Linked DNA regions of Oryzias latipes. The protein of the gene in region 1 interacts with the protein of each later gene in a pairwise test. Links are inferred from orthologs where the notes say so. Each region holds a gene or a part of one and is shown on either strand. Other genes may lie near its edges.

The links.
Region 2: the proteins of c6h16orf70 (region 1) and bcas3 interact in binary tests that used the Homo sapiens proteins (3 or more experiments, as listed by UniProt). The link is inferred for Oryzias latipes from reciprocal best matches to the Homo sapiens genes PHAF1 and BCAS3.

The regions. Positions count from the first base shown.
Region 1 is NC_019864.2:26,087,914-26,104,266, reverse strand, and holds the start of c6h16orf70 (UPF0183 protein C16orf70 homolog), read right to left. Parts: upstream 9,201-16,353; 5' UTR 8,108-9,200; coding exon 8,044-8,107; intron 7,954-8,043; coding exon 7,871-7,953; intron 5,605-7,870; coding exon 5,521-5,604; intron 5,426-5,520; coding exon 5,382-5,425; intron 5,246-5,381; coding exon 5,166-5,245; intron 5,081-5,165; coding exon 4,986-5,080; intron 3,811-4,985; coding exon 3,746-3,810; intron 3,655-3,745; coding exon 3,542-3,654; intron 2,905-3,541; coding exon 2,771-2,904; intron 2,633-2,770; coding exon 2,549-2,632; intron 1-2,548. Other genes in the region: cbfb (core-binding factor subunit beta), read right to left, coding at 14,039-14,110. UniProt on the Homo sapiens protein: Plays a regulatory role in autophagic activity. In complex with BCAS3, associates with the autophagosome formation site during both non-selective and selective autophagy.
Region 2 is NC_019871.2:29,561,723-29,577,756, forward strand, and holds the start of bcas3 (breast carcinoma-amplified sequence 3), read left to right. Parts: upstream 1-6,247; 5' UTR 6,248-6,373; intron 6,374-7,157; 5' UTR 7,158-7,180; coding exon 7,181-7,251; intron 7,252-7,553; coding exon 7,554-7,608; intron 7,609-8,418; coding exon 8,419-8,494; intron 8,495-14,698; coding exon 14,699-14,805; intron 14,806-16,034. UniProt on the Homo sapiens protein: Plays a role in angiogenesis. Participates in the regulation of cell polarity and directional endothelial cell migration by mediating both the activation and recruitment of CDC42 and the reorganization of the actin cytoskeleton at the cell leading edge.

The DNA.
Region 1 (16,353 bases):
TGAACTGCTGTGATTAAACCTGGAGGTCCTCTATAGCAGGGTTTTTCAACCAGTGTACCGTGGGAGACGCTCAGGTGTGCTGTGGGAAATTTCCCTCATCAACTGATCTAAAAACATTTTCCATCTCCAGGATATCAGCTCTGTGTTCATCTAAACAGGCCCTGATAAAACACTGAGTAGTTAGGAACATGAAAGATCATGAAATACTTTTTTCTTTGTGTTTATTTGATTCTATTAAAGACACTTTGATAAGAATGGTGGTACCGCGATTTTTTTTTGGAAAAGTCCCGCCCCTTCAACTGTCTCCGCCAATCATTCTTGGAGGCTTAATCACATGTCATCAGTCTGACCAATCAGAAGTGGGTAAAGTCCTCACTTCCTTGTTCTGATTCTGCTCATAAAGTCTCTCAGTTCCAACAAAAATACCAGCTAAAGCTCGTCTTTAGCGGTGTAGCTTTCCAAGGCGGATCCGGTGTCAGACCATGGAACAAGTGAAAAAACTTGCTCACTTTTTGTGTAGCTACAGAAAACATAACTATAATATTAGTTTTTTTTGTGTAAAATTTATCAAACATATTGTGATCATATTGTTCAAAAATTACAGTTGCCTTTGCACCGACATTTAAAAAGATATTAAAAAAAATAAATCATTATTTAGAAAGAACATATTTGTTTTTTTGTGAGGTCACATAAAATTGCATGTTAATAACTGAAGGGAAAATTTTCAAATAATTTAGTTGAAAATTATTACTGAAAACTAACTTAACTTTTATTACAACTTTTAAAAAAAAACAGCTGCAACTTCCAGCTTTTTCTGCCACAATTATCACAAAAATGCATGTGAAACTGCGGAGGGACTGTAGATCAATACAGACTAAGAGTTTCTCCTTTTCTTAATTTTTGGATGCTGGTGTGCTGCAGGATTTTTGTCAAGGATAAAGTGTGCCTTGGCTGAAAAAAGGTTGAAAAACACTGTTCTGTGGCGCCTTCAGGAAGGCAGAGGTAGAACGAGGAAGTGAGATGTGTGATGACAGTCCTTTAAACTTTTCTGCTCTACAAATGTAGTGAGAAAAGGACAGGAGGGTTGAGAACAACCAATAATCTTTTTAAGCAGCCCTGATAACCGTTTTGCAAAGGCTATTTGTGCCACAGTGTACCCTGGTAACCAATTACAAACAGCATGTTTAGGCAGTTTTATACATATGTTTTAGAAAGACACCATCACTTTCTTGTCTACACTTTTTTATTATTCCAAAACATTCAATATTCAAACATTCGTTGTTCTAAGCATTCTTAAGTTGATTTAGCATTCATACAGATGTTTTCTGCATCTTTATCAGGCCTCCTCAGCGGATGGATGATCTGAACTTCTTTGCATGATAATCTTTGTGGGTGTGTCCAAATTGGAGGGCTGGGTTCTACCTGGGCCGCCTTTGCAGGCTGCATACGTTACAGCGCCACGACAAGTGTTGTCCAAATTCAACAACTCCTTTAAACGCGGCCGGGTGTATCCTTCTATGCTGTCCATATCCCAAGCTGCATTGCGGCCGAAACCCAGAGACTTTCTGAAAAAATGGCGGACTGTGGAGCGGGACCCGGACGGAGTTGGAGATAATACACCTTTTTAAATTACACCTCCAAGACTAAAAGTTGGATCAAGTAAGCCAGGAAAATGTTAAGCTCCATGCCTCGTTCACTACTCCTCTCTGTTCAGGACTTTTGGTTGCTAGGTGACAGGACATTCGCCGATGTAACGGCTGGAATTATCTAAAGGCTAGACTTGTCCAAATTGACAGCCGTTAACGTCCGGCCTATCCGCTCCACAAAGGACCCAGGCCTCGAATTTGGACGTAGCCAAAGACCGTTTTTGGTTAGGTGGAACATTTTTGCTCCATTTGAAAACAAATACAGAACGTTTTTATTTAGTATTTCTAAAGCTACTTCCCTTTGATCTTTGTCAGGACCTATCTTACTTCCTGTTAAACCCACACATAGTGAAGTTTTTAGTTTTGTAGTTTTTGTCGTGTGTTTCCAGAGAATTAGTGCTTGAAAATGACTGTTGGTGGATTTCTTCCTGTTAAACCGTGAATGAAACCGTGAATGAATAGGAAAATGGTTCTGCGCTTGACACAAAGTTTGTATGTGTTTTTAAAGCTTTTTTTTTTTTTTTTTTGCTTTTCCAGACCTGATTTTCCTAAATATTTTCTGGTGTTTAAAGGTCGCCGACTAAAACATTCTTCTGCTGACAGAGACCGCTGATCCATTTCTGACACTTTCAAAGGACTCAACTGCAATAATTTTCTGCTTTCTTTAGAAAAATGAAAAAAACAACCAAACATGTATCATAGGAAGAATGAACTACCCAACAATTGCTGGCTCACACTTTCAGATTTAATTCCCGGCTAACACAGACGTTTGTCGTGACAGCTAGAATCGCTTCAACAATGAGTATAATCTGAGTCCAGCTTTAAGTGTAACAAATTACTGTGTTGAAATCACAAACGGCGTTCTCCCACAGACAGCAGATCAAAATAAAGAAGCTACATACCACGCCCAGGGTGAAGAAGTTGAAGAAGTAGTCGTTGCATTTGGAGGGAACTTGCTTGTGAGGTGATGGAGAGTGGATCTTCATCTGATTGTCAAATTGTGGCCAAACACAAAAAAACACACAAAAAAAAAACAGGAAAAGTTGAGTTTTTCCCGTGTTAGACAGCATTGTAATGAAGCGCCGCTGCAGTGACAGACACCAGCGACGGCGACGCGCTCCCACCTTGTCCTCTGACTTGTAGAAAACTTTATGGGGCGAGCCCAGAGCGCCCAGGACATCCTGACAGGAGTCTCCGAAGAAGATGCTCCTGTCCATTGACCGGACCTTGGCGTCAGCCATCACCCCGACACCCGAGCCTGCAGCGACCCAACACACCCACAGCAGTGAGACCTTCAAGCTCCAATGCCTGTCCTCCTAATCAAGGTCAGGTCATTTAGAACAACAATGTTGTTTTACCAAGAACAAAGAGGGTAACATTTGACACATGACAGCCACCAGTGCATTAAAGACTGACAGTCTCACAGCAACTAACTACATTTTTTGTTGCTTGGAAGATTTTAAAAAATCCATCACTTTATAAAAAGTGTGTTTTTTCTTCAAAAATCTCATTTTTGTAACACCCACATTACTTGTTTGCTGCTCTTTTTTACTTACATAATGTTCTCAGTGGTCTTGTGTTTTTGTAAACTTTATTTTCTTTAAATATCTTATTTTCTTTCGTTTATCAGGACAAACTACCCAAGAAGCTGTTCTCTTTTTGGGTTTATAATTTGAAACAAATTCAGTAAATAATTGTTGGTTCATCCCTGTTAACCGACATGTTTTTGTTTACCAAAATGCAAGAAATAATCATCACAACATTAAACATAATATCTTCTGCCCTCTACACATTTTCTTCCATCTTTACAGCGCCCTCTGCAAACCGCTTCACTTGTTCAAACCTTGATGATGAAGGAACATTTTGTGTCATCCACTCTGAACTGACGTGTTTACCTGCAGCGAGGAGGCGGAGTTTGAGCCCCAAAGGACCCGCCCCATCTCTCAGGACATCCACGCACTCAGCGTAGATGTTTCCAAGAAAACAAGCCAGCGGCATTGGAGGAGCTCTGAGGACCCAAACACAGCTTTAGTTTCTTAGTTCCTCTTAAATGCTCGACACTCTCTGAAACTCTCTTTTTTTTTTTGTGGTATGATCACCTCGTCTCCTGCAGGTTGTTGCCAGTGTAGATGTGCATCCTCCTAACCATGGCTCCATGTGGAATCTGCATGGATGCCAGGAAAGTTAGGCCAGGCTAACAAACCGGATTTCATCCAAAAATAAAAACCTTTTTCTAAATTTACTTTTATCGTGATATCTAGCTGTGCAACACACATATCGGAAAAGACGGTGAAATCCTTAAATGTGCTAAAACAATCTTATGGCAGCTTGAAGTATTTAACAAATCAGATAAATCCATTTGTGCATTTGACCAATCGGATTGACCCCCTTTTGATGTTAGATGTTCGTAGACGAGGGTCCTTTTAGAGTATCATTTAAATGATGCTGACTCATTTAAATTAAACTGTTGCAGTGAAATGGAAATGATGTATGTACCGTAGTTGTTTTGCTGTTTGTTCATGTACCGCAGGTTATATTGTCATCACAATATTGATCACTAATATTTTTCCTCATATCGTGCTGCCCTACTGGAGAGGTTTTATATTCGAATTAAAATCACTTCAAAAATGTAACTTTTATTCCACAAGACCAAACGATGACTCAGATTTACGGCTTTTACATTTGTGAAGGTGAAATGTGAATGTTGGCATAGGTCACTGTGACATGAACTCTTCTTTAACTAAAACATGAAAGAACGAAAGAGCACAAAGTCATGGGCTTAGAGAAATCAGACTCTCCATTGTATTTATAGAGCATGTATTTACTGAATATAGCTTATACTCAACAACAAAAGAATAAGACAAAGAAGAAAAAGCTAAATGCCTCCATTTATTGAAAAAAAAAGTTTTTCTTCGTCTAATAAAAAGGTAAATCTAAGAAATGTTTCTAAAGACTTCAATATTTCTTCTATTAACTTTTTACTCCAATGTTTTTAATATAGTCATTTATTTTAATGCTCTGTGAAGACGATGACTTGTCTCTGCGTTTAAACGAAGCCTCCAAATAAAAGTAAAGCTGTCTGGCTTTAAAACAGAAGTAGAAGATGAAACCCAGAAGAAGCTATTATGGGTTTGTTTTTGGTCTGAAGCAGCCAATATTATCAAATTGAGTCTTCAGCATAAAAACTAAATGCACAGAAATAATAACTGCAGATTATGAAGCCATACGCACACACGCATGCACAGAACTCAGCCTTAGACTGTCACCACAAAGCCCAATCACTCAAAGCTCCTGTCTGACCCTCACAACACTCCAACGGGGTCGTTCAGATTCCCTCACCTCATATTTCGGCGCTTCGTTCCACGACTCCAGCTGGAAGGAGAAGGACAGTCCACGAAAGTTGAGATGGAACAGCTGCTCTGCGGGGTTGTAAACTGGACCAAGATGTGGAAAAAGAGCAACAACAAAGTTGGAGAGGAGAAATCAAACACAGATGGACCTGAGCGTCAGCTGAGTTACCTCCAGGGTGCGTGGCTCCAAAGGACTGATCTATCTGCTCTATCGTGGGGGCGATGGCCTGAGAGTTGAAATGCACTCCACTAAAACAAAGACAACATCACATCCATTATCATTCCAGCAGGCCGAGTCCAGACCGAATCTAAGCTCGAAGATGCAGTAAGGTTCCCCGCTCCACCACAGCCCACGCTTAATTTTGGAGTCTGAATTTGATCTCACCAGTATTTTAGCTTGACTTTGCTGAGGTCATACACCTCGATCACCTTTGACACAAAGAAAAAAACAGTTAAAAAAGGACAGGTAGTCACAGCCGAAGGCTTGCAGCGCTGCTCAGAGTTTATAGTATTTAGACTTTCACCTTAAGTCTCTGGTTTGTGGCATCAAACAGCAGTTTAATCCCATCCTGAGTCAGGTTCAGTATGAGGTCGTGGCTGAGAGGCGTCTGCAGCGAAGCAAACAGTCATTACTGAGGCAGGAGGTGGTCCTTCACAGGCAAACACATCCGTCAGTGTTTCACAACCTCCTTGACTGCTGTTTTTAAGGAAGAACAACCCGGACAGAGCCAGGCCGCAGACAGAAAACTGAAGCCCGGAGGAGGCGTTGAGTGCTGTCACGGGCTGTACATATGTGCAGTCAGGTAAACTGGTCTACGAAAGAAACCTTGTTACCTAGGAAATCAGCTAACAGGTGCACGTGCAATTCCGAAACCTGTTTCCCACACCTTCATGACCTAATAGACATCACGACCTCATTCATCACGCGGCACATCTATTGACAGTGGAATGAGGAGTAACAACATTTAAGAAGCGTCAATTTCCCTGAGGAAATCTATAAAAGTTCTCCCAACCTCATTTCTATGTTTAGATGAAAACCAGGTTACTCAAGAAAACACAATGCAACATGGTAACTTAAAGACCCACAAATAGATCCATGTTCATCTCATTTTCCTCGTCTGAGCTGGAATCTGACTCGAAACTGTACGGCTGGATGGCTCCAATATTGTTCGCCGTTGTTGTTGTATCGCTAATGTTATGTTGGGGGTGTGAGGGCTGTAAACTAGTGGGAGAGCATGTAAACAGAGAGCTCTCAGCAACAGGGTGGGGAAGGTGGAGGCAAGGCTGCTCCGAGCCGACGTTCCCGCCCACAACTCAGAGGTGAATTTCTAATGAACTACAGCTGCTCTGCAGATACTGTCCTAGAAAACGACACCAATTTATTGAGTTGTGCTAAAAACAGCTCAATCATTATAAAAAGACCACTGGGAACACTTCTGAAAAAGATCCAAAGATGACCGGAGATGGACTTTAAGTGCACTTAAACAAGACTTTTCATTTAGAAGGGAAAAAAGGAATACTATCACAGGAACAAGCAACAGGGCTGGAACATTTTGAGCTATAGTAATGTAAAGGTGGAGTGTTTTTACATGCGTTATCTTTCTCTGGGTCACAGAATTGACAGTGTCAAAGTACGACAAACAGTCAGTGATGGAGCTGCAGCTTTGTCCAATGACCTAAAGAAAATACCGCTCATACAGGTTTGTCTAAACCTCAGACTAGATGACATATTGCGTTAAACTTGTCAAAAAGCTCTGCATTATATGTAAACTCAGGGTTTAGGCTCCATAAAAAAACAATTCAAGCATTTTCAAGGTCAGGTAGGTTAATTGCCATAACTTTTTTAGAAGGCGAAATTTTGGATGTTTACACAAACACCCGTGTAGAATAAATGAAAATACACGCTGAACATTTCAAACTCTGAAAAACAAAATTTACATTTTAGAACTTTTTAAAGACTTAAAAACAAAGACTTGATTCGCCTTCATGGCTTTTACAAAGTCTTCAGACTCACTAACTGCTTACATGATGACTGGATCAGAACCAAATTCCTTTCATGGTAAAATCTGAACCTGTTGGTCACACTAAACTTTCAGCTGAAGTTAACAGACACTGACTTAATCCCCAAAGACAAACAAAAGATAAAAATTATGACAAAGACAGACGTTTTGTTCAAAAAGGATTTACAGACTCACTCCGATCATCTTTTGATCTATTTTCAAAGTATTCCCAGTGGACTTTTAACTATGAATATGCTGTTGTCTGAGTTCACTTCCAAGTTGTCTACAAGCTTTAGCGTTAAACTTGTCAAAAAGCTCTGCATTATATGTAAACTCAGGGTTTAGGCTCCATAAAAAAAACCAATTCAAGCATTTTCAAGGTTCGATTCCTGGAGGGGGATAAACAATTGTACTGGGTCAATTACCATATCAATGGCGAGCAATAAACATCACCCAGTGAGGGCCCTTAGGCAAGACCCTTAACGCTACTGCTGCGGTTAGGCTGCAGCTCATCGCTCCCCCAGGGGATGGGACAAATGCGGAGAAGAATTTCCCCATTGTGGGATAAATAAAGTATCAATTATTATTATTATTATTATTTTCCATCTGCATTAATTTGTTTGCTTCTGATTCACAAATATTTGGAGAAAGAAATACTCAGAAATGCAATTTGAAGCTTTTTTTTTATAAACCAGTATACGTCTTCCAACATCAGACAAATGCTGCATAAAAAATGTTAAGAACACTGAAAACACCATTCATTGGAATATTGTCTTTTACAGAATTTTCTAAAATGTAGGGGAAAGTCCTAATCTTATGCAAATGTAATTCATCTAGAATGTTTTTGGATAACAGAGAAACTCAGTCCTCTCACCTGCTCACTGTACAGCACCTGGACATTCTTGATGATGCGGCAGTGTTTCTGCAGGATAGAGACAGCCTGGGAAAACGGCATCCCTGGAAAAAGAAAAAAAACAAGCAGACATTAGGTGTAGTTGTAAATGTTGTTTTTGTTTGTTTACAAAGCGATGACTGTCAACCACCCACCTAAGGCGAACTCCCATTGCTCATTTCCAAGTGATCTCTCAGGGACCACCTCCAGATCCAGCATTGGCAAGTAGATGGGGGCAACTGCGCTCACCTCAAGACACAACAGGAGCCACAGAGGGGCCCTCTTCTTCTGTCTGTCCCAGATCACAGCGCCCGATCACAACAGGCAGCTGCTGATCCTCATACCTGGACCGGCTTTTCTGTAGCTGCTCGATCTGTCAAAAGCCTGTCCTTCTAACTCATGTCATGTGACCTGGATGTGGAAACGTCACCACAGACAGGAGCCAGAGCGGTCAGATATTCACAATGACCGTAGTTAGTATTTACAGAGGAAGCCTGCGAGTTAGCCAGGAGGCGATTGCTCAACTTATCAGCAAAACTCAAAGTCAAACAGACCAGACCAGCTGTCAGGCGAGCAAATGCTGTTTGTGTTTTCAGAAATAATTGGAAAAAAAAACAATAAAACGACCCCCTCAAAATATTAGTCCAGATAAGTAATGGGAAAAAAAATTCACCGTTTGTTCACAAGCGAGATATCTGAAGCGATGTTTTCTTTGTTGTTACGCGAACACATTTCGGCTACATGCCTGTGTGTCCGGAACCAGCGGCACACGCAAGAACTGCAGCCCCAGATGAAGCGTCCCTAACCGCCTCTGGTCCTTAACGGTCTGAGGGAGAGAAGGGGGGTTGTTGTTATGAAAGCTTCAAACCTGGACTCTTTTCTTCGAGCTTCGTCGAGCTAACGTTAGCGTCTGCTAGCCGTATCGTCCAAGTCCCTAAAATAAAGTGCGTTAATATACATAAAAAAAAAATCCAGAATCAGTTACTTCATAGGAGGAGATTAGACTGATTTCTTGACCGAGACAAAAGCACGGGTCTGTTTTCTTTTCTATTCTTCTAGGTTTTACCAAACTAAAGCTTCTGAAAAGCTAGCTCTGCTGTCGCTGCACGCGAGTAAACAAGTCCTAGCAACCGGGCACGTGCTTCGTTCCTCGTGAACTCCAAAGCCGGTAAATGTCCTTTGTGTCCAAACCGCAAGCTTTGACGTGTCTTCACCGCTGCGAGCAGAGAAGAGGGACACCAAGTCCAAACAAGTCCACACATCAACAACAGCAGCAACCAGCTGATCAGACAGCTTCCGGTGCTCGTCGCACGTCCTTGGCCGACGTGATGACGTCATAAAGATTTTCTCCCTCACAACCAAATTTTCCTTCATTCGTGACTTAAAGATTGTAAGGAAGACACAGTCAATCTCTAACTACTAAAAAAAACTACAAAGTGCCCTGGATTTTAAAAGCATGCTCACTACTTTTTTTTTAATGGTGAATAGGACATCATAGAATCCACAAAGTGAAAATCTAATCTACAATAACCATTTATGAATCCAATGTGTTCTGATGATAAAAATGTTAGTTTATTGAATAAAACACATTTAAACACTCTTGCTGCCTCGTATGGCTTTCCTGGATTCGGGTGGTTTAAGGACACCAAAGATCTAATGTGCAGTGTGAAAAGAAATAAATCAGACAAGACTCTGCATGAAAGTTCAAACCATTGCAAAGAGGAGATATGACAGATGCATCCGACACCAGCAGGCGAAAGCTCTGCTGTTATCTGCTCTCTCTGCTCCCAACAGAGCAACATGTAAAATAAGTCAGTAGGTACAGTAGATTTTGCCGCCATTCAAGGATCGTCGTGTCCGCATCTCTAGTCCGCAATCCACAGATGCCTCTGTTCCATAAACAACAGCACGGAAAAAAAACCTCAACACTCCTAATCTGGTGATGCATGCCAGTCCCGTTCAGTTTACAGCATGCGACTGCAAGTGTTATTGCCACACACACGAATATAAAGAATCAAGTAAATGCATAATCAAATAGCATACAAACATAATGGAATCCCTGATCACCTCCACAATACTTTCTTTTTTTTTTTTGCAAAAATTGTTTAGACGCAATGCATTGTGGTCTATTTTCGTTAATCTAGTGAGCATCGATGCACACTGGTTTTTCGCAGAGACTTCTGGGAAATTTCTAGGGCACTCGAATTTGGAATTGTAGATTCAGACAGCACTACAAAATGTAGTGAGTAGTGGAGGAATTCAGGCACAACTCAAATGTACAAAACCTAAGATAAAAGAATGCTTGACACTAGTTGTAAAAATAGAAAATAAGCCTGGAGAATCCCCCAAAATGCAATTTTCCATTATCCCACCCCCTAGTGTCCAGATTAAATCATACAAAAAAAAATTAAAGTCCCACTCCAACTATATTTTTATCCTTTGTAAAAGCGTTCCCAGAGGTATTTTAATTATGACTATGCCGTTTTTTGGCAAAAAAGAAAAACAGTCTTTGAAAAAAAAAAACAGACATTGTTTTCGCAGAGCAGCAGGAGTTCATTAAAAATTTGCCTCAGAGTTGTGGGTGGATCAGTTGGCGGGGAATTAGCCCTCTGCTGACATCCCTTTATCCTCTTGTCAACACTTTGTTGCGCTAGTTTACAACGCCAAAAGAATGGGTAGAGCAAAGGTATCTCCTCTCTTCTATTTTTCATAGTCTTACAACAGTTAACCTAGATTGAAGGTATCATGCTGCCCTCTGCAACCCTGGTACACACATATTCAGATTAAGACTATCGTTTGTTTTTTTTACTTATTTAGATAAAGAAATTTGTCCTCTTAGTCATCAGTAATAGTTATCTAAACAACTATCTTGTAATCCAGAGAGAAAGCTACTATAACTACAGATTTGTAACTCTTGTTACCTGCATACTTAGGTAACAGTGTTGCACTAGGTTTTGTAATCATCAAATATATAATGTAGTAAAAGCTGCACAATTGATCTGTAGGCTGAGCTAACACATGTTAATCAGGTCATTGACAGTTTGTGATCTTTTCTTGATGATTATGTTGCAGAAAATCAAAAAGCGATGGTTTTACTTTTTTACGAACAGCTCTCCACACCGGCCAAGGGTGGCTATCCAGAGCCAACCGAAGTTCCGCAGCGCTCTAGTATCGTCACGTCTAGGCGGGATTCTGACTTAGAGGCGTTCAGTCATGATCCCACAGATTGTAGCTTCGCACCATTGGCTCCTCAGTCCAGCACATATACCAAACCAGCTGTTCCTTTTGTGCTGAGCTGGATTACCATACCATGCCAGTGGTGAAATGGCTAGCACTCTTGCTTCAACGTGAAAAGGACCTGGTTCAGATCCCATATACTGAGAGAACATTCCTGATGTGTTCAAGTCAATGATTTGCTTTCTCTGGTGTGTGACGAGCTCCTTTGACTTTCCCATTGTAAAGGCCCGTACACACCGGGACGAATATTCGCCAGCCATTATTCGCCAGCGTTTTTCAACACGTCTTTTGTGTTCACACCCAGGCGATTTTCGCTGACGAAGATCCGAGCGAACATGCAATTTCATTCCCTGACATTAGATGGCGCTTAATGTAAAACAGAAATACTCCTGTACACAAGGTGGCGCTGCACAACTTTACGCTTATTAAACTCGCTTTTCACCCAGAAGAAGAGAGCAAGTATTTACGTGCTTGTCAGAATCATACAAAGAAAACATGAATATTTCAAGCACCAGGAGCTCCAGCTCCAGTTCCAGCGATGAAGAAATTATTGTTCTGTTGAATGATGAAAGACGGCGGAAAAGACGCGATTTTGGGTACATCCAAGTTACGAGAAGAGAACATGGGGAGTTTTATCGACTGGTACAAGAGCTGAAAATGTATCATGAGCGTTTTTTTGGGGATATTTTAGAATGTCCGTCATTATTTCTTTGCGGCAGTGTAGACGCTACTTGGCGTCTATCTTCTTCGCTGGTATGTGTGCTCAGAAAGGCAGTTTTGTGTTTGAGCACCCCCAAGTTGTTTTACTGTAACTTCAGAAGCTCCAGACACGTGTGCAAAAGCGCCATTCTCATTGGTCGAATAGTTTTTGACGCGGCGCGTCAAACCAAAAAAACGAACCCGAGGCGTTTTTAAAAAAATGACGCTTTGACACGTGGCGTTTTTCGCGTCGGTGTGCACACTCACATTGGTGCCCTTTGTTTAGTCACGAGGCGTTAAACGTCACTCACAAGAAGCTAAGAGACCGTGCTTTGAAGCTCATGTCATTGACACAACTTTCTAAGTCACCAAAATTGCTCCTTCATGCAGCTGTAAACTTTTGACCCAGCAGATTTATTCACATTTTCAATGGACCCATAAAATTCATAAAAGTACAAAACTTCATAAGTGCTTTTAATGACACAGAAGTGGCTGTTCCAATCACTCTATCAGAGAAAAATAAGAGCTGCAGAAATAACAGGTAACTCAAGACAGCTCATGACATTGTGTTCTTTACAAGTGTATGTAAACTTTAGAGCACCACTGTAGATTCCAGTGGGATTGACATCAGGAATATTTTGGGAAATAAGCAGCAATTCAGGAATAATTTGATTTTGTGTCAAAAAAAGAGTAACGTTCTCTGAGTTATCAGATATTTTTCACTTTTTATTGTAATTTTGGTTTAATCCAAAGCTTCTTGTAAAATTTTACAAACATGTGGTCATAAACGTACAAACACAAATCATCTGTTGGCTTTTTAAGTTAAGAACAAAATCAGATTGAAAACATATACATGTGTCGGATACAATAAGATGAAACCGTTGAGCTTCATAAACAAAATAAAAGAAACAATCTTCTTCAGAAAGTCACAAAATATAAAACAGGAAAGCTGATGATGTGTCGAGCATCTTCATTAAATATAACATTAAAAATGCAAGCAAAAAAGAAAAAGTTGTCCAATCTCCCAAATTTGTGGAGAAATTTAGAATAAAAAAAACAGATTTATATAGAAGAAGGTGTGACTGCTGTTCAAAGCTGACACCAAAATGAATGCACACGCAGAGGAGAGAAGATGACAAAAAGTAAACATCATGACCTTCACACTAGCAAAAGCAGGATTCCAACTCACAGAAACATTTCATTCCACTGGTGCTGTGACGGGGCGGGAAAGAGAGCGCTGCTTCCGTGCAGCGATGCAGGGTTCTGGACAGGCATCTTCTCTTTACACAGCTTCATTTTGATGTTTCCTGCATGTTTTGATGCAACCGGTTGTTTCGGCTTGGGCTTCATCACCGAGCAACTGGGTTCCATCTGTTAACATTGCTGTAACTTTACACCGTTCTGTGCTAAAATTCACGAATCATGAAAAAAAATTTGAGCTTGTTTGTAAAGAATGGAGGGGTGGGGGGTGAGGCTTCGGCTCTGCCGAAATGCAGTTTGGAAGACAAATGATCTCTGAGCTTCCTCACATGCTTCCAGAGACAAAGACTGAGCGGCAGAATTGCAGTTAAAGCTTCTAAAATCTGTTTTCAGATACATTTATAAATCACTGCAAATAATTCTTCACCCTGCAGCTCAGCGTAAGCCATTCTTCTTTATTTTAACTCAAAATTTGTTGTGGAAACAAAATTTTCATTCTTCCAGCAAAGCAAACTTTGGTCTCAGAAAAGGCAGTGAGCTCAGACACACAGCCGTATTAACAGAGGTGGAGGTTTTCTCCTTTGCTTTAAGTTTAACGCTGACTCAGCTGCTGAAACCTGAAAGTGACCCTGAGCTACAATATCTTCTTTTTCAGTTTCTTCTAGTTCCTCCTCCTCACCCCCCTAAAGTCTTCCATTATATTTTTTCTGTCTTATTTCTTTCCATGAACAGATATCATCATTTTGTGTATAAAAACTGTCAATTGAACACTTATACATGTGGGCAGAATTGGGTCTCCTACTGTTGAGTCCTTCTTTTCAAAGCTTATATTCACTTTCAATTCAATCAGTTCAATTTTTTGTTCAAATGAAACAAATCAGCGTGTGAAGAGGATCACATTAAACCTACTGAAGCATAATGTGAAACATTCTGCAGCTGTGGCTTCACGTGACTTCCAGCTGATTGTGTTGAAAGTGAACAGCCGTAGATCTCTGCTCCTCTTCCTCTTCCTCGTCAGCGCATCTTGTGTTCCATGTCAGCGTTGGCCATGTTTGAGCCAGGGCTGGGGTCCTGCTGTCGTCTGGACTGGGGAGAGACAGGGATAGGAGGATGAAAGAAAGCAGAAAAGGAGAGGAAAGAGAGGGACAAATGAGACACGGACAGAAGAAAAAAGAAAGAAGCAGGAGCAAAACACTGCATGAAGTATAACTTTCAAAAATTTAAAACTAGCACTAATCCATCTCAGTTGTTCACTTTATAAACCTTTTAAAGGAGACATAAAATAATTTTCATGTTTTAGAGCTAAATATCCTACTAATGTCTGTTTATTTATTCATTTTAAAAACAGAAGCATAGCAATAAATGACAAAAATGTCTTTGGATGAAGTTTCTAAACGTATTCAGTCTAGGCCTGAAAAAAGGCAGAAAAATCGATTGAATGAATTAATTTGAATTTTTGGTTCCGGGCAATTTGAAAAATAACTAAATCGAGTTTTTGTGTAATGGCGCATTTTTGGCTACCGGTGAGAGTGGGAAGCTCACGCGCTCATTCCTCTTACACACACAGCCCGCTGACACACATACACATAGTCATTCTACAACACCTATATAGTTAGTTCATTAGTTAGATAGTTTGTAGTTAGTTGTTACTGTTATTTGTTAATAAAGAATACTGCGTTGTAATTATTACTTGTATTTTGTGTTCTGCGGCGGCAGCGGGGGGTGGTGGGGGGGGTTATCGATCGCGACTCCTGCTGCTTCATCAGCGCGGTGATCAAAAATCCCACACCGTCACAGCTCTAGGTTATATCTTGTGGGACACCAAAAAAATGCGACTTCTCCAGTACAGTTAGCAGAACCGTTGAGGTCAGATCTTAACGATACTGCGGTCTTGAAGAATGTTGCCCCGGGGCTCGTTCAATACCGGGGCTCGGTACCCATCCCTAGGAAGGGTGCACGGTGTAGAACAATCACCGAAGCGGTCACTTTGCATATAGCTAAAGACATGGTACCCATATATACCGTGGAGAAGACGGGGTTTATTAATTTAATTAAAACCTTAGACCCCAGACATGAGCTGTATTGTAAATCCTTTAGAAAATGGTACTACTCTCAAGGTGAATGTTTGTCTCCTTTTAGTCTAGACTGCAAAGTGTGACTTAAAGCACAGCTGGGACTTTGATTCCAAGAGTGTGTTCATTTATTTATTATTCATCCCAGAAATGGGGGTTACATTTGTCTTGCGTTTGATTAAATAAAAGCAAAATTTGCTTTAAGTTGTCTGCCGTTAGTACTTATTGCTTTCCATAAGTGTGTGTGTGTGTGTGTGTGGGGGGGGGGGGATCGGGGTGTAATCATGTGCTGTTACAGATCAGAATTAGCTTTAAAGGTGATTTTTCACGTTTTTCCTGGTTAAATAAGACATAGTAAAAGTTAGTCAACAGTTAATTTAAATAAAATGTAATAAGATTAAAAAAATAAAATACAAAGGATCCAAAACTGTAAAGTGATCAAATTAATCAAAATGCAATTCTTTGAACTGCCAGTAGAGGGAGACAACAGGCTTTGGAAGAAGTTTAGGTCAGTGCTGCTTTTTATACACTTTACTGATGCTGATATTTTAGTCATGGCATCTGGCAGGTTGATAAACACTCAAGCATGAAGACTGTCTAACAGATGCACGCATAGCTACACCTATAAGGCTATTCCATTGACTGTCCTTAATTTGCACATCTTAATTCAAGCTGTAACCTTAACCATGACCATGTTCGGTGCTTACCTAACCTTAACCTAAACCACCTTTATTAGACCTAAACTTGATAAGAAATGTTTTAAGCGATGTTCCTCTGTGTCCTCATCAAATCAACAAGTCCCACAAGGTACCAAATACAGGTACACACACACACACGCATGCATAAACTGGATCATTAGGTCATCAAAAGAAACTATGAGGCTGACATGTTTTTTAAAAATATGTCGTGACTGCATGTTTGTGATGCCATGGTATGACCTCGTGCTGCTGTAAAAACATACTTGTGGTCATGTGTTTACACTTGGGTGATAGCTGAGCAAGGAATGTGGCGGCTAAGAGGTGAGAAGGTGCAGTGGAGGTGAGGCGGGGAGCAGACAGAAACGCAGACAGGAGAGTGAAGGGGGTCACTTAGTTCAAGCGGAATGTAGTTTGTGTCATCTCAGTGACTCACCATAATAGCAACATACTGACTATCATGCACACAAACACACACACAGCAGGTCATGCTGCCATTTTGACTCCTTGCAGCCAGACAGTCTCGTCTGAAACCATCTCTGATGTTTGATGGAAACTGCTG
Region 2 (16,034 bases), on another chromosome or scaffold:
CAGAACGCTTTCCATCTCATTGAGTTTGAATAATTTTTCACATCAAATAAAAAGTAATTACATCACAACAACTCCTGCTGAGTGGTTTCCTCTGTAACTTTGTGAGTCAGTGTGTATGTGTTCAGAAGCATGAGCATTAATACTGGTCAGTGATTTAATTGAGCTATTCATGATGTCAAGCAAGAGGTGACGCTACACTGTCTGCAACAGACCTCTTTACAGGACAACAGGCTCACAACAAACAGACACACAACAAACTCAAAAGCACACGTGTTACAAACAGCAGGGAACTGCTGTCACAAAAAATGAGATTTAGGGTGTGATTTAAAGAGAACACGAAAATGCCTACTCAATGTACAATGAGAGTAGTAGTACAATCACCTCAGAGCAGGCATTTAGACTGAAGCACACTCCGGACCAGCTGCAGCAGACCTAAATATTCTAGGAGTGTGTCAGTGCTAAAGCTCAGTGGGATTGAAATGACTCAGGCCATGAAGAGATCTGAGAAACAGAAACTTTTCGAACTAAATCCAAGATGGACAGGAAACCAGTGAATGGAAACTAAAATGGAAGTGATGAGATGGTGTTTAAAGCTACTAGTTAAATGAGCAGCAGTGTCAACTGCAGAGTGTGACAGTAGCCTATACAGCTAGAGATGTGGCATTTAAAAACAGAATTTATGGCTAGTAAAAGATTTTGTTGTCTTGTGCTTCGAAATTGTAAATGGCGTATACTCATGTAAAGCTTTTCTGCCCCCATTGAAGGCCTAAAGTGCTTTACAGTGACAATTCCATTCACCCATTCACACACTGATTGCAGTTGTGTTACACTGGCGCCAACCTATAACCACCATGAACGATGTGGAGTTCAGCGTCTTGCCCAAGAACATTGCAACACATGTGATCTTCCAAAAAAAGTTCGACCACTCCACCTGTGCACCACGAGTTTTCCATCCTTTCTGGGTCATGGGGCTGCTGGGGGTAACCCAGCTACTGTTGGAGAAAGGTGGGATTCCCCCTGAACAGGTTTGTTGCTTACACACACTCACATCTAGGGGCAATTTGGAGATCCCAGTGCACCTATGAAGCATGTTTCTGGACTGTGGGAGGAAGCCCACACATGCACTGGGAGGACATGCAAACCCCACACAGAAAGGTGCCAGCTGGGATTTGAAGCAGTGAGGGAAGATCACTGTGATAGAGTTTGAACACTGGAGGGAAATGCTTGTATATTAGCTTCCCTCAACTGAGCTCCAGTCAGAGAGAAAGGCAAGAAGCCAGTTCCTCGCAGACTTTTCATATCGAAGGTTTACAAAATTTGAGAAAGTGTATGGTTTTAGCTTCTTTACTCTTGTATGCCAACTCTGCCTTCTCGCCTAAGCATACATCTTTGCTTTTTTTCTACTCTGAGAAGGTTTTCTTTCCTCACTGATAGCATTTCAGCTCATATACGAGCACCTGTTCCTCCATCTGCCCCTTTCACCTCTGCTAGCTCAATGCAACACCTGCTCCTCCAACATGGCTGTCTGTAGTTCAGATAGACTCTCTCTACTGGACCTTGGAGGATACAGTACATGTCCTGTAGGTATGACAGCACTATTCTGAGAGTCTGAGACTTGAAAAGACAGAAAATTTGCTTGACTTTGTTTCCCCACATGGCTGCAGTGAAAGCTGCTCCTGGTCTGTATCCCCCATGTTGCTCCAGTGTCCTCAACTCGATAGGTTGGGGGCGTGTAACTCCTGGTAAATAACCAACTTCAAAGTTTTGAAGAAATGCTGGCAGCAGTCTCTCTGCTGAAGTCTAGAATGCACCACTGTATCTGCATAAGGTTGTTCTGACGCCATTTACACTCCATAAAACTACAGATCCGGCTCAAAGGACCCTATGATGGAGTTTGAACAGTCTGGAGGGAAATGCAGGCCTAATACCTTCTTTTAACTGAGCGCCGGTCAGAGAGCAGAGCACAGAGAAGCCAGTTCCTAGCAAACTTTTAATGTTGAGGTTAAAGGTTTACAGGATTTGAGAATGTGTGGGACTTTAGCTTGTGCACGCAAACGGCAGCAACAATATGAAGAAGTGCGGTCTCAAACAGAAAAATTACTCTGAAAAAGAAAATTACCGTACTTTGCTAATACATGAAAAATTAAATACCTAAGAAATATACAGTACAAGCTCTAAGTACTATCCCACCGTGCAGCCCAATAAGAGTTTTCCAGTCTCCAAGAAAACTCTCAAACAACGGTTGTTTGACTAAAGTTATTTGGCACAAAAGAAAATAAAAGTGAATTATAAACTCTTTCACACCGAGTTACACACGGTGTGCACATCTAGATAATTTCCTTGGTTTGATACTTTTTCTGTGATCTACTTTCATCAGGAAAACATTACTGAGAAGCAGAGCATCTGCTGTGCAGAGGAAATTTAGTTTTTGAAGATATCTACCAACTAGAATACAAGTATGCTGATTTTAACTACTTTTTGTTGAAGCATGCTAATTTGAACTTCTAATTTATCTTTACTGAATTTTAAACAGACTAGAGGTTTTATTATTCTTTTCTAAATGAGAACTTCAGAAATCTGCTGTTTAGAAATAGTCTTTTTTCTTTTTGCGGTACTGTGATAAATTTTAGAATAAAATTCAACCAGAAATGGATTTGAGCTCATGCATAAGTCAGGACTTTTTGACCTTCTGGAACGATGACTAAAAAGTGACGTCGAAATTCTAACCTATGTGGTTACGTTATAGATGATCTTTGCAGGTATGTGCACGGCGCAGTTAGTTGAAGGTTAGTTTGTTTTCAGAGAGATGAAGCAGCATGCCGTGTCCATTTGAAGATGATTTAGTGGATGAAGAAGCTCAGATCATACGTAAGAGGGTGTGATAAGACCACGTATCCATGTTTTAAAGATAAACTTTTTTACTTTGATCTAACTTACTTATTTGCTTCAGTTAAGATAAATCATTTTTTTGAGTTGAACTTAAAAATAGCACGTAGCTATCAGACATTTATTTTACTTTCATTCAAATTAATCCAATTAAGTAGGTGCAACTTTGGTGCTGCTGTTAGATTGGCAGCTCAAGGAATTGTAGGATACCATTCCCTTTGCCTGTCTGAACGGATTTGGGTTTAAGTGCGGGTTTTTGACCAAATGGACACACGGTAAAAACCAAGAATTCCCTTTTTTTCCTTAACAGCAGTTTTTAAGCTAAATGTTTCCCCACTAATATACCCCTGGTATCTATTTGAACCTTAACTAGTATTTTTGTTTTTACTAGTTTTAAAGTTTTTTGTTTCCCCTTATTTTACCAATGTTAACCATTAACATAAAACCCAGTTTTCTAGAAAAGCCTAACCCTATAGACTATTTTTCTGTAGTTTCAGAGAGGTGATGGAGCATGCCGTCTGCATTTACTGGAGCCGTGACGTCAGTGATGAAGAAAGACAGATTCCTTATTGCAAATGAGTTGGTGCAAACATCTAAACCATTTAAACCATATAACCATTTATATTGAATTTATTTTAAAAAAATGCTAAAGGCTGCAGAAGTCTTGTGCCCCAAAAAGCAGTTAACCTTTCCCAGCATAAGTCTGTCAAGGATTACCACTGCAGATCCAACATCTCTGATGTGACTTGGGCGCCAAATGAAGGAATCCAGTCATTTTTTGGATGTCGCTGTTGATGAAAGCACCGACATCACAAATAATAATATTAATAATAATAACAATAATAATAATAATGATAAATTCTTCTCCACATTTTGACCCACTAAAGCAGTCTCTCATTAATGTAGTCACTACTTAAACCTATTAAGCTTTAGTCACAACTGCCCTAACAGGTGGATACGGGGTGTGTCCAAGTGAAAAATGGAGGTCAAATCTTTGCAGGGCACATAGGTGGTCCGTACAAAAACTTAAGCTTGTAGACCCCAGTCTATGAAAATGTTCATGCACCTATTTTGCTACGGGCAAGCTGTGGGCGACAGGTCTTAGCAAACACTTAAGCAACACATAAAGGGTGAATTTGGTGAGATGCAGGTGTGTTTTTTTTTTTCGACCCCCTGAAATCCTGCAGACTGCCCAGTAAGCCCGTTAGTGCTGTTTAAGTGTCAAGCGTGCACTCCTTCCGTAAAGCCTGATTTTTAGAAATGAGGAAACTAGATTTTCCGAGGGTAGTTTGTGTGGACATACAGGTGTCTTGCGGGCACTTGCACATCACCTGCACACCCCGTGCGTCATTGCACACAGTCAGAAAGGAACCACTGCACGCACCTCAGTAACTACTGGAGTGCTGTGGGTGCTGTTCAAAAGCATCACTCGTACGTCATGGGTGAGTGACTTGCATTATCTTTACCAATATTTCCCAATAATCTTAACGCACATACGACAATGGTACATCCCATTTCCAGAAGGTAGTCAATTAACCCTTGTGCTATCTTAGATGACCCCCCCCCCCCCCCCTTACATTGACGTGTTCTCCCTACCATGACAAAGGTGGATAAAGGTGGAAAGATTTCATGTAATCCATGGACACCAGTGAAGATCACAAATCATTGAAGGAAAAAGGTTCAGAGCACTGTCTAGTGGGTCTAGATGACCCCACACCCAATGTTCACATGCCTAGGATAGCACAAGGGTTACGCCTGAAGGGAACAGCAAGACCTGAACCTGCGCTTCTGTTAAGATGCAGCCCCTGCTCTCTACAACCCTGTATGGGCCCTGACAACCCAGAAACTAGCAGCACCTGTATGGATGTTGACCTTTACGGGAACACGTGACAAAGTTTTCAACTTATGGATGTTTCACTTTTAGCATGGGAGCTTTTTCATGACTTTTTGTAAGTTTAATTTTATGTTTATTTCTTTATACTAATTATATGTATATTGGTCCAACTGTATATAACAAAATGTCAAAAAAACAACAACGTTAAAATCAACTTTTATGTACAATTATTACATGAAAAATATTAGTTATACTTCTTAGACATTGAACTTACAGCTAATGAAAACTTATTACTTAAAACCAGAAAGAAATATACATAATTATATTATACATGATTTTGATTCTGATATAAAAACTGTTGAACCTGTTTGTCAAGGACTCATGGTAAAGAGCTTCCTCTAGCAATTTGGTGCATTATGAAATACACCGTCATATGTGTCTGGCATTTTTCTTTTTATGCTTTCAATTCTCTGTCTGATTTAGGTCAGATGAGTGTAACCAAACTATCATTGACTGGAGATCTAGTAAATTGGATGCTGTGCTTGTCCTCTCTTTCTTCAGACTCTGTAACCTTAAAAAAGGGGAAAATAATTTATAGAAATATTTAAATATTAAATATTTTCAGTGACAATACTACTGTATACCACTGAAAAACAGTCCAGTTCCTTTTGGGGCGGCCGTGGTGCAGCGGTAGGGCGGTTGACCCTTGATCAAGACACTGAACCCCACTTTGCCTCTGGTGGGAGGTTGGCACCAGTGTTAGGGAGCAGAGCTGCCATCAGTGTGTAAAGGTATGTGTGCACATGGGTGAATGTGAGGCCCTTTGGACCATCAAGTAAGGTGAAAATTACGACATCAGTATATGCTATTTACCATTTATGAAGTCATTTTGGAAAAGCAGTTTACAAGTGAGATTCAAAGAAAAAGCTGAGCCAAAGCAAACCACTTAAAGTTACCTGACCTGAGGAAAAGTGTTCCATTCATAGAGTCAAGAATTATAAAAACAATGATTATTTTCCAATTTTGTGCAAGAGAAATTACAAAATGAGGAGATGGTTATATCTTCCATGTGCAATGTCAGTAGAAACTAATAAGTCTGCAGTCTTTCATGGCTTATGATGGTTAAAGTAACAGACGATAACCGATGGAATATTGTTTTGTGTTTTAAATAGTTATCTGATAACACTGTCAAACAATAAGGTTGCAAGAATGAACTGCTTTCTTATAATAATGTATACAAAAAAGGTTTGGATCTTAATTTATTTGTTCTGAAATTAAGAAAAGCATAAACACTGTACCTGACAATGATAAATCTACTTACGGTAGATCAATCTCTGTAAAACCATCAGACATTTAAATCTCTTCACCTGTACCAGAAAGATTTTTTTAATCCTCCTTTAAACTTCATACACTGTCTGTTATTTTTATTTATTTTATTTTTTATTGTTTCAACTTAAAAATATATGTATCCAGACGAAATGAAATCGTCACACCCTCTCAGCATTTTGATTGGATTGACGAGGTTGTTGCTGTTCTCTGATTGGCTGTCTACTCACAACACAGTTCCGCAAATACAGTGCATGTTTAGGTTTTGTACTGGCAGCTCTTCCAGCGGACAACAGTCCAAACCGAGAACCGCTTCATTTTCTAAAGGTATTGCCGTCTGACACATTCGTAAATGTCGAACGACAGGTTTGCAGTGATGTTGTTGAATAAGCAGCGGTGCGTTTGGAAGCTAGCTGTAGCTAGCTGGGTCTGTTGGTTAGTTAGCTGCTGGGTCCTGTCTGTCTCTCTGCTGCCAGCAGCTGGGTGTTTTCAGCTGACAGATGCCCGGGTTGGTGCTCGAGCTGCCGAAAGTGTAGGTTTGGAGAGGCTTAGTTCCGGAAGCGTTTTGGGGGTAAAAAAAAACAAACAAAAAAAACAGGCATGTCAGGACTTTCGTCCAGTAGTGGAGACGCTGTCTCACTCAGTGGATGACAGCAACGTCATCCACGTCACACGATACGACGTGTCTTTGTTTTGGTTAACTTTTGATTGTTTCCACATGAACGTCTGTCGAAGATTAGGTAATAATAATGATAATAATAATAGGACAGAACGCAAGTGTTGATTGGCAATAACCAGTTGTATTTGACTTCCATCCTAAATGCAGTAAACAAAGGCTCTTTGCTAGCAGAACATGGTTTTTGAGTCTCCCAGCTATTAAATAAAAGCAACCATGTATAGATATCTATACTTTATCATGAAAACATTTCAGAGGCTTACAAATGCTATCGTGTTTTAAGGCAGAAATGTGGTTAGTGCTTCTAAAAAGGTTGCTTCTCTGAAAAGATCTGTCACAGAACTTAGAGTTTCTTGAGTTGAATATTAGGTACAAACCATGACATCTTTCTGGAGTTGTTTGAATCCTCCTTATGATTCCTTTCTGGCTTTTCAGAATAAAGAAAAGAAGCCACAGAGATGGCATCGGACTCTCCACGCAGACCGAGTCGCTGTGCTGGAGGAGTTTTGGTGCGAGCACAAGCTGCAACGTAAGAAGAAACTTTTGTTATCTAGAAATCCATGCCATTTTGTTGCAGTGGCTCCACTGATGTTTGTCTTCAACCAGAGTTCATTATATTTAACTTTAATCTGGAGTGTTTGTGTGTCTTGTTTTATGTATAATAGGCCATGCATCTGTTTGTTGCTCAAACGCATCAGCTTTAAAGCATTAGCACTGCAGGGGCTTGATAATGAGACACAGACATTTGAATTTGGTTTTCTTTCCTTACAAATCCAGGAGTGAGACTGGTTTTTGGGACACCTGCCAGATTAATTTTCCTTTTTTTGACAGGGAACAGTCGTACATGGAAAGTGTTGTGACCTTTTTACAGGATGTTGTCCCACAGGTAATACACAAATACTACTATTGTTATTCATTCACTAATACACTTATATTAAGTGTAAGGCATGTTTAGGATTGTGGGTTGTACTAACATGAATTAGGATATAATTTGCTTACAGTCACCTACATGAGAATAACAGTCTGCAGCCTGGAAAATGTCAGGTTTGGGTACTACAAGTGTAAAAAATAAACATCCTATTATTAGCAGCTTTTGGCAAATACAGCTTTGCATAATTGTCTGTATTACTCATGCATTTTGGACACCAATGTTAAGCATCTTTCTTAAGCTTCCTTCTGGAACTATGCCTCAGTTTTTGAACATTTGCAGTCATTAATTTACGCTCTGCTCTCTTCAGGTCCCACCACAGATTTGTTGGGTTGATGTCTAGACTTTGACGTGATTGAAACCATTTTCCCCACTTTCTGTGGTAGATTTTCCAACTTTACTAAAGCAGAAAGCCTGCATTTCCATCTCCTTACCATCTCTGGTGTATTTATGAATACTAACCAATGACAGAGCCTACAATGTAGTTCTTTGTAAAGCTTGTACTGCTTACAATGGGATGTTACAAGGTGGAAAGTATCACACCTGGCTTCTTTAAATCTCACAAAGGTGTTTCATATACTGAGAAATAATAATCTAATATCAGTGTTTGTCCATTTTAAAAACATGCAAAGACTATGACTTTGAACTCTTCCATTGTCTATCCTCTCTAACCTATAGAAGAGTTCACTGGATCACAGTATATCATTCAGTTTTTGTTGTTATATGGCTAATAAATAAAATGAAAACGTGTATTTCTTCCTTTTGTAGGCCTATACTGGTGCTGTACCCTCTGATGAGAAAGAGAAAATCATTTGGATTCGGTTTGAGAAAGCTGACATCAATGGTAAGTGTTAAATAAGCCGGAGTGGACAAGCCCTCTAACGTGTCCAGGGATCAGCCACACCACAAAAAGGAACTAGCCATCACATCATACATGCTGGAGACTGTGCTGCCCGTTACATGAGGATAAAGCTACGTTCGCAACAAACGTGGTTCATGTCCATTTTCAATGCTAAGATAACATACAGACGTGATCAAAGGTTGGCATGTTATGGCTGTGTGGCGGCAGCGCAACACAATGTTTCCTGGCTGGGTAGCTCGGTTGGTAAGGTGAAAGGCTACCACGCAGGAATCCAGGGTTCGATTCCCGGAGGGGAATCAACAATGATAACATATCAATGGCGAGCAATTAACATCACCCAGTGAGGGCCCTTGGGCAAGCCCCTCCCTACCTCTGTGAATGATCCCGGTGTCCATTTATACAACCGTAGGCGCTAACTGGCAGCCACTTTTCATCACCAAGTGTGAATGAATAATGGACACAATGGAAGGGCTTTTAGCATCTGGAAAAGCGCAGGTAAATCCATTTTGCGTTCCGTAAATCATCCAGGAATTCAGCTTTGGCCCATGACGTGTTCGTGATATGATCAGCGAGCGAAGTGAAAACCATCAGGAGAAGCTGTAAGCGCTCCACCCGAACATTATTATTCTATTCTTATTTGTGTGGAAACAATAATATAGAGGTCCACTAATTTGATTTTTTTTTTTTTTTTTTACATCTTTTCCCACCTGGTGGTCAAACTGGGTCACAGAGAGACGGAAGTACCGCTCTCTCAACATCATCCTCGTTTTGTGCATTGACTATGTGAGCTGCAGTCAATGCTCGCGTGTACCGATGAGGCAAAACAAATTGACTGACGGTAGCTCCTTCCACACGTCAGCAGTGTCAAGTTTATGAAAACAGTTTTGGCCAAGTGTCGAGCAATTAAATTTGACACGAGTCAAAAGAGATTCAGCGGATGTGAATTTGACGTGTGAACCATGTTTGGTGTGAACTTTGCAGAAGTCTTCAGCTCCTTGTCAGTTTGTGTGAACATCCCAGAACCAGTGCACTGCTGGATGTCTCCTGATTAACCAGGGGAAGAGAATTTGACCTTTGGGTTTTCATGACTAGCCTCATACAAAAGCTTGTCTGGCAATCCTTAAATCATTTTTTTCCACCAAGTGATACTTGACTGCATACATGATCCTTTTTTAAAGTCCCCTTATGACAATTTGTTAAAAGCAAAAATGTTCCCAGTAGGGTTGGGCGATGTCCCCTAATTTGGCGTTGACGATGTTTGCTGTCAACCATCGGGATGGACGATGACATCGTCGGGGGGGGGGGGGGGGGGGGGGGGGGGGGTATTTTTACATTTTTCATACTTATATAACTGCTATTCGTTATTTTGCTCTTTTCATTTTATTTCCCAACTAATGGTTAATCCGCGATGATCCAGTATAAACTGAGGGAAGTGACTTTAACAGAAAAAGTAACAAGCAAAATAGAAAATTAGTGTAGTCGCTCCCGCACTTAATTAGTGAAGTGGACCGGCGGAGCGCGGACTTAAAGCTTTGTGTTTGATGGGAAGGGGGGGGGGGGGGGGGGTGGGGTACATGAGCGGTATGTGTGGGAGATTTAAGACTGCGATCCGTCCCGCAGCTCTAGGGGTACAAGCAACCGAACTCAGAACCGGGTCTAAAAGTGTGTGTCTGAGCACAGCTCGGATCGTCAGCACACACACACAGCGGTTTGAGCTTCAAAGCAGAAATGTCGCTCAGTCCTTAGAAAACATTCAAACAATCACGTGGATTTGTGTTTCCAGTCGTGTCCCGACTAAATAAAGGCTGATGTTATTCTTACATGTTTACGTGCAGCGCCACCCAAAGCTAATGTGTTAGCCCGTGTTAGCATACTGCTAATCCTGTCTCCGTTCAGAAAAAGCACTGACCACACGGATTAAAATTCAAATGATGAGCGAACAGGTGTTTCATAATAACCGTAACATTATTAAAAGCACGTTTAGAAGACCGTCTCATATATTACCGAGCTGACATGTCAATATATATAGCCGCTCGGTGCTGTTATCGTTTTGTATTGAATTGTTACATTCAATAAAGTTTGGGAAAAAAAACGCTCGGCGGAAGTTGTATCCCCTTCCGGTTTTCAAACTGCGCATGTGCGAATGATTTATTCCTACCGAAATTGTGACCTTAGTGAACGTTTTTATATTCTGAACACATTTTTCTGGGCCCATCTACACGGTTGGATTCTAATCTGACCATTGATCCCATCAAGATATTTTGTACAGGTAACCGCGGCTTATGGTGTCGACGCGCAACATGGCGGGGGCGTGGCATCACGATGGTGGTCTCTCCATCGGGATGTCAGTCACCCATCACGATGGACGATGATATCGTCCATCGGCACAACCCTAGTTCTTATGAAGATTGTGATGATTATGAAGTTTTTAACCAAAATCTCACAACCTAAATGTCTTAAAAAGTCATATTTCCTGTTTATCTGAAGTCCCTCTTTCCAAAATCCCCTCTACATGGGCGTGGCCATTGGTGCTGAGTTGGGTAGCTCCGCCCTTTCTGATAATGATATCTGTCTTGCATGAGTGAAGAGCTTGACACAAGGGGGGGGGGGGGGGGGCACAAGAGACACTGACCAACACTCTCTATTCTCAAAAGTTTCTCTTTAGTTATAAAGAAACTGTGAAAATTGATATATTTTTGGTTCCAAATCAACACTTTGTGAACAATGTATAGAATAACAAAAAAAATATGTGTACCAGACCCAACTGTTTGATAAAATGACACATAAAAAATAACTTTAATTAGTCCATGAAAAATGCTTTGAATGACATTATAATTTAGGCTACATTGCAGCAGCACTGGCTGTGGCTCAGAACTGATTTGATGCACAAGCAGATTGTTGAATCACATTTCACAGCAAATAGAATGAATTGCCATAAAAATAGTGGCCATTTACACGTTATTTTCAAAATATGTGCGGCCAGTGCTGAGCTTTTTTAAGTTTAGGGTTAAGTTTAGGATCACAGGTTACGGTTAAACTGCGCTCACAGTGAAAGCGATTCAGCGGCGCGATTTGAGTGGCGGGTGCAGTGCAATAGTATCAACAGTTGCCCAACAGTACCCGTCCCAGCTACTGTTGGGTGGAGGCGGGAACACCCTGGACAGACTGTGGCAGGGCGGATGGAGCTGGAGATGGAGATGGAGCCGATCACTATGCCGGCTCCCGGGAGGTGAGCTGGCGGCCAGACACAGATCCGATGCGGGATGGGGAGCCGTGCTCTGCCCTCCAGAACTTTAGGATATTTCTCCTATCCCCTAATTTTATCCTTGTTTTTATTTTTACCCTCTCTGGGTAATACTGGACAGCAAGCCTTCAAAGTTAGAGAGAGAACAGCAATGTGGAGAACACATTTGGGATTTGAACGTGTGGCCAACAACAAAATCCCGCCTGGGACACACTTGGTATACGTGCGGGGAATGCAGCAATGTGCCACCTGAGCTGATGTGCACAGCGGACAGGGCAGATCGGGGAGCTTGTGCATTGCACATGCGCTCCTGGGCCGTTGTGACATCACAACAACTCGTTAATTCAAACCGAGTGTATTTGCAGCACTTTGATTGACAGCGATTTAAAAGGAAAAAAACTCGTAAATCCAAAAATGAAATGGATTTTTTATGACATTTGTTGTCTTTTATAAAGAAAATGCCACACGTACAAGTCAAAAACTCAAAAAACATGATTTTCAACCTGGATAGATTCCTGGATACGTTTGATTCTGAAAATGAGAATTATTCTGATCCCAGCTGAGAGCAGGATAGGAGGCTGATCTAGTACCTGTTTCTCCTTTACCCCCCCCTCCCAAAAACAAAAAAAATATGAAAGTTGCAAGAAAAAGATGCACTGCTAAAATTTTGTGCTGCAATTGTTGAATACTGGTAAAATTTCAACATGCTTTCTCAAAAGAAAGAAAATCATGCAGCTCATTCATCATTAAACTGCTGATAGTAAGTGACTTATTTTTACTTCTTGTTTGACAATGGTTCATTTTCTTTAATCAGAAAAGACAATTTGAATTTTTCATCTTTTTATTAGAAATTAAATTTGTAGATTATCTCAATACTGAGATCAACAATACAGACACATACATCTATTAACAGAAAAGCAGCTTAACCTCAGAGGACACTCAAAACAGAGACAAAATCCAGAATCCTGTTTTAGAAGTTCATGAGTCAAAGGGCTCCACTCTTGTCTGAGGAGTTGTTGAACATTTCACGTTTTGTTTAAGGTGTTAAAATGTGGAAAAGGCAAATACGAAGTACAGTAGAGACTCATCAGTTCACACACTTACTGTACATCGGCTCAACATTTAAATAAGTGTAATCGAACACATGAACTCCTGCAGAGAAGCAGGTCTCTCATGCTCCACAGCCTCAGACCGGCGACGAGAAAACATTTAAATGTGTCGGTTTACTGCACGGTCACATCTTTAAATAAACCAGACAGAAATGCACCTGGAAAGAAGCAGAGAAGAATTAAAGGGAGGTTTTGTTAGTATGTTTAAAAAAAAAGGGAGTCTCCTGCTGAATCAGCCAGATCGATTGAGCAGAAGCACGAAAAGTTTGATTTTTTTCATGCTCTTAAAGAAACTACATTCTCATGGTTAGCACTTCTTATTTATAGGCTCTTCTTGATCCGGGAGAAAGCTCTGCCTTTTTCCATGTTCTCTCATCTTTCTGATTCTTTCGGGTCATCCCAAAATCCCCATTCAAGTGGATCTAGGTGATTTGTTGTGATCCAGCTAAGTTTTGAAATACCAAGATGAAAATGTCTGATCCCCGGAGTCGGATCAGAGGATTTGGTCATTTGGATCACTTTAATCCTGATCCAAAGTTATGAAATACTGGGCCTTGGTGTAAATAAGATATAATCAAAACACAGTTAAGGCAAATTAGCCTCACTGGTCCACATAACAATTTTAAACTAGTTTAAACGATTTGAAATATAAAATTGTAATTTTTCTTTTGTTTTTTGATTTGTGTGGTGCCTTAGGACAATCTTTGTTAATTCTGTATATAACTAACATATAATATATAGATAATCAGCTTGTGGCTGAGCATAACCTAGTCATCAGATGAAGATGGCTGAGGGCTCCGTTTTGTAAATTCGTGGAACCTGATCAAGACGGATTGGTGCAAATGTGGATGTGTCCGTGGCTATTGGGTTTGTTTTTGACCAGGAGGAAAATCAAGGTTCATGTTGTTTGACAGGACAGTCCAGTCAGTCGGAGAGCTGGTTACAATCGACAGTTGTCTCTGCTTAAGGCCTCAGAGTGACACGCAAAAGCTAGATGGAGAGGGGAAGATCCAATTACCATATGTAGATGTGGGAATTAAAATCCATTAAAGGAAATGTAGAAACTCTATGATGTTCTTCTTCTTTCAAAAGTAATATTTTCAAATATAGTTTTACATTACAACAATCAAACAATGATGAACAAGGTAGTTTATTATATTATCATATTTATCTATTATTAAATACATGTTACTATATAATATTGCATGTCACTTTTATGTGGCCGTTTTAAATGGCATTCACAAAAATTTGCTGAAAAGATTTTGCAGTTTGTCAATCATATTTAGTTGTCTTTTTATTTATTTTTCCTGCTGATAGACATGGACCACATAGGCTGAATCCAAATTCATTCCCCACCCCTCCAGCTTCTCCTTACCTCCTACATTTATCCCTCCAAGCAAAGAAATATAGAAATATAGCGACTTCAAATCCGGACGTTACCACCACTTGATGACGTCATCTACGTTAGTGCGTAGCTGCCAGCGCTCAGAAAATACTAAATATCGGTTTTATAACTTTAAAAAGTCATGCAGAGATCCTATTTGTTTAATAGTAACATCTGCATCTAGAAACATAAAAAAAATAGTTTATTGATCATCACTTTAAACTTTTGATGTTACGGAATTACTGTCTAGGATTCGGGAAAAACAACCTTAAAGATGTCAAATTAAAAAAAGCATGGAAATGAGAGGGACAGAACAATACATGCAGCAGCAATATATTTATAGCAACTGTTTTCTTGTTACCGCTTTTTATTGCTGATAGCTCTTTGTGTTACCTTTTTTGGTGTACTTCATACAGAACTGTTTGTGACTGAACATTCTCTGCATGTAGACACTGCTCGAAACCCGGAGTTCATAGAGATGCATGGTGGCACCTCAGACCCCCCCCTTTGCCTCATGATTGGTTATTCGGACGGGATGCAGATCTGGAGCCTATCTGTAAGTCTTTTCTTTCTTTTTTGATGTTTGAATAGTTTGTGTGTGTGTGTTTGTTTGTAAGTAAATGCATAAAAATACATTTTATCTCTATAGGTTCACCATAGATAAATGGTTTCCTGTTTTTTTTCTTGTGCTCTTTATTAAGTAACCCAAAAGTGAATGTCCACTAAAGTAACTGCTTTCTTTAGTTCTTAGGCTCATTGTGTTTCAATCTTTCAATGTTTTACACTTTTAGAGTCATTACATGTTTAATTAAAAGGGGAAATTTAAAGAACAGTTTTTTACCTTGTGTTTTCATCAGCAAACTACGTTTCAGATGGTCTCGTATGTGAGGCATAATGTTTTTTTCTCTTTTGTTTACTTTGCTCTGCCTCTTGAAATATATCAGTTTTTTGAGTAGATTCGTAAACAGCATGTCTGGACCTGTTAGGACATCAGCCAAGTGTTCCCTGATAAAAATAGTTTCAAAAAAGCTTCCAACGTAACTTAAGGTGGACTCATGGTGAATGAATTCTTCTTCCAGCAATTAAAACATTTCTTAATTCAGGAAAAAGGATTCATACGTGAGTGCTTGTTGTATTCCAAACAATTTCAGCAATAAAAACGAGGAAAAAAGACATAAAAAATAGTATATTAAATCTGTTTAAGTTGTTAGGAGATGATGCTATTTTGACGTTACAATTACTCCTTATCATAAATAGACATATTTGCATTTATACTGACAGTAAACTTACAACACAGTTTTTTTTTCCATCAAACATAACGAATATCTAATAGTTTGATTATTTGCTTGAAAGTGGAAAAGGTGAATGGTCTACAAGACATTGTTCCTTATAAAATGTTTTGTTTTTGGACAACTTTGAGCCGGATCTATCCAGATTTTTAGATAAAACAATGTTTGTAGTGCCACCTTCTTCCACAAGGTGGTAGTGTTGATCAGGCAACGTATTCACTTCCACTGAGAGATGTCAGTACAGTTATATCATCAAAGTTAAAGAAAAACTGCAATAATACGTAATGAATGCCAGTCAGAAAATAGATCTTCTAATTCCTCAAATTTGTCCTGAAACTTTGACTGTTTTATTGTTTTTGTTTTGGTTATCTTTATATTAATGGCTTTCTTAGTGTATTGTAGCAACTTTACCTTCGTAGTATACACTTATGACAGAGGAAAATTCAAATACAGAATTTTAAAACATTGAGAGACTATAAATACATGTATTCATATT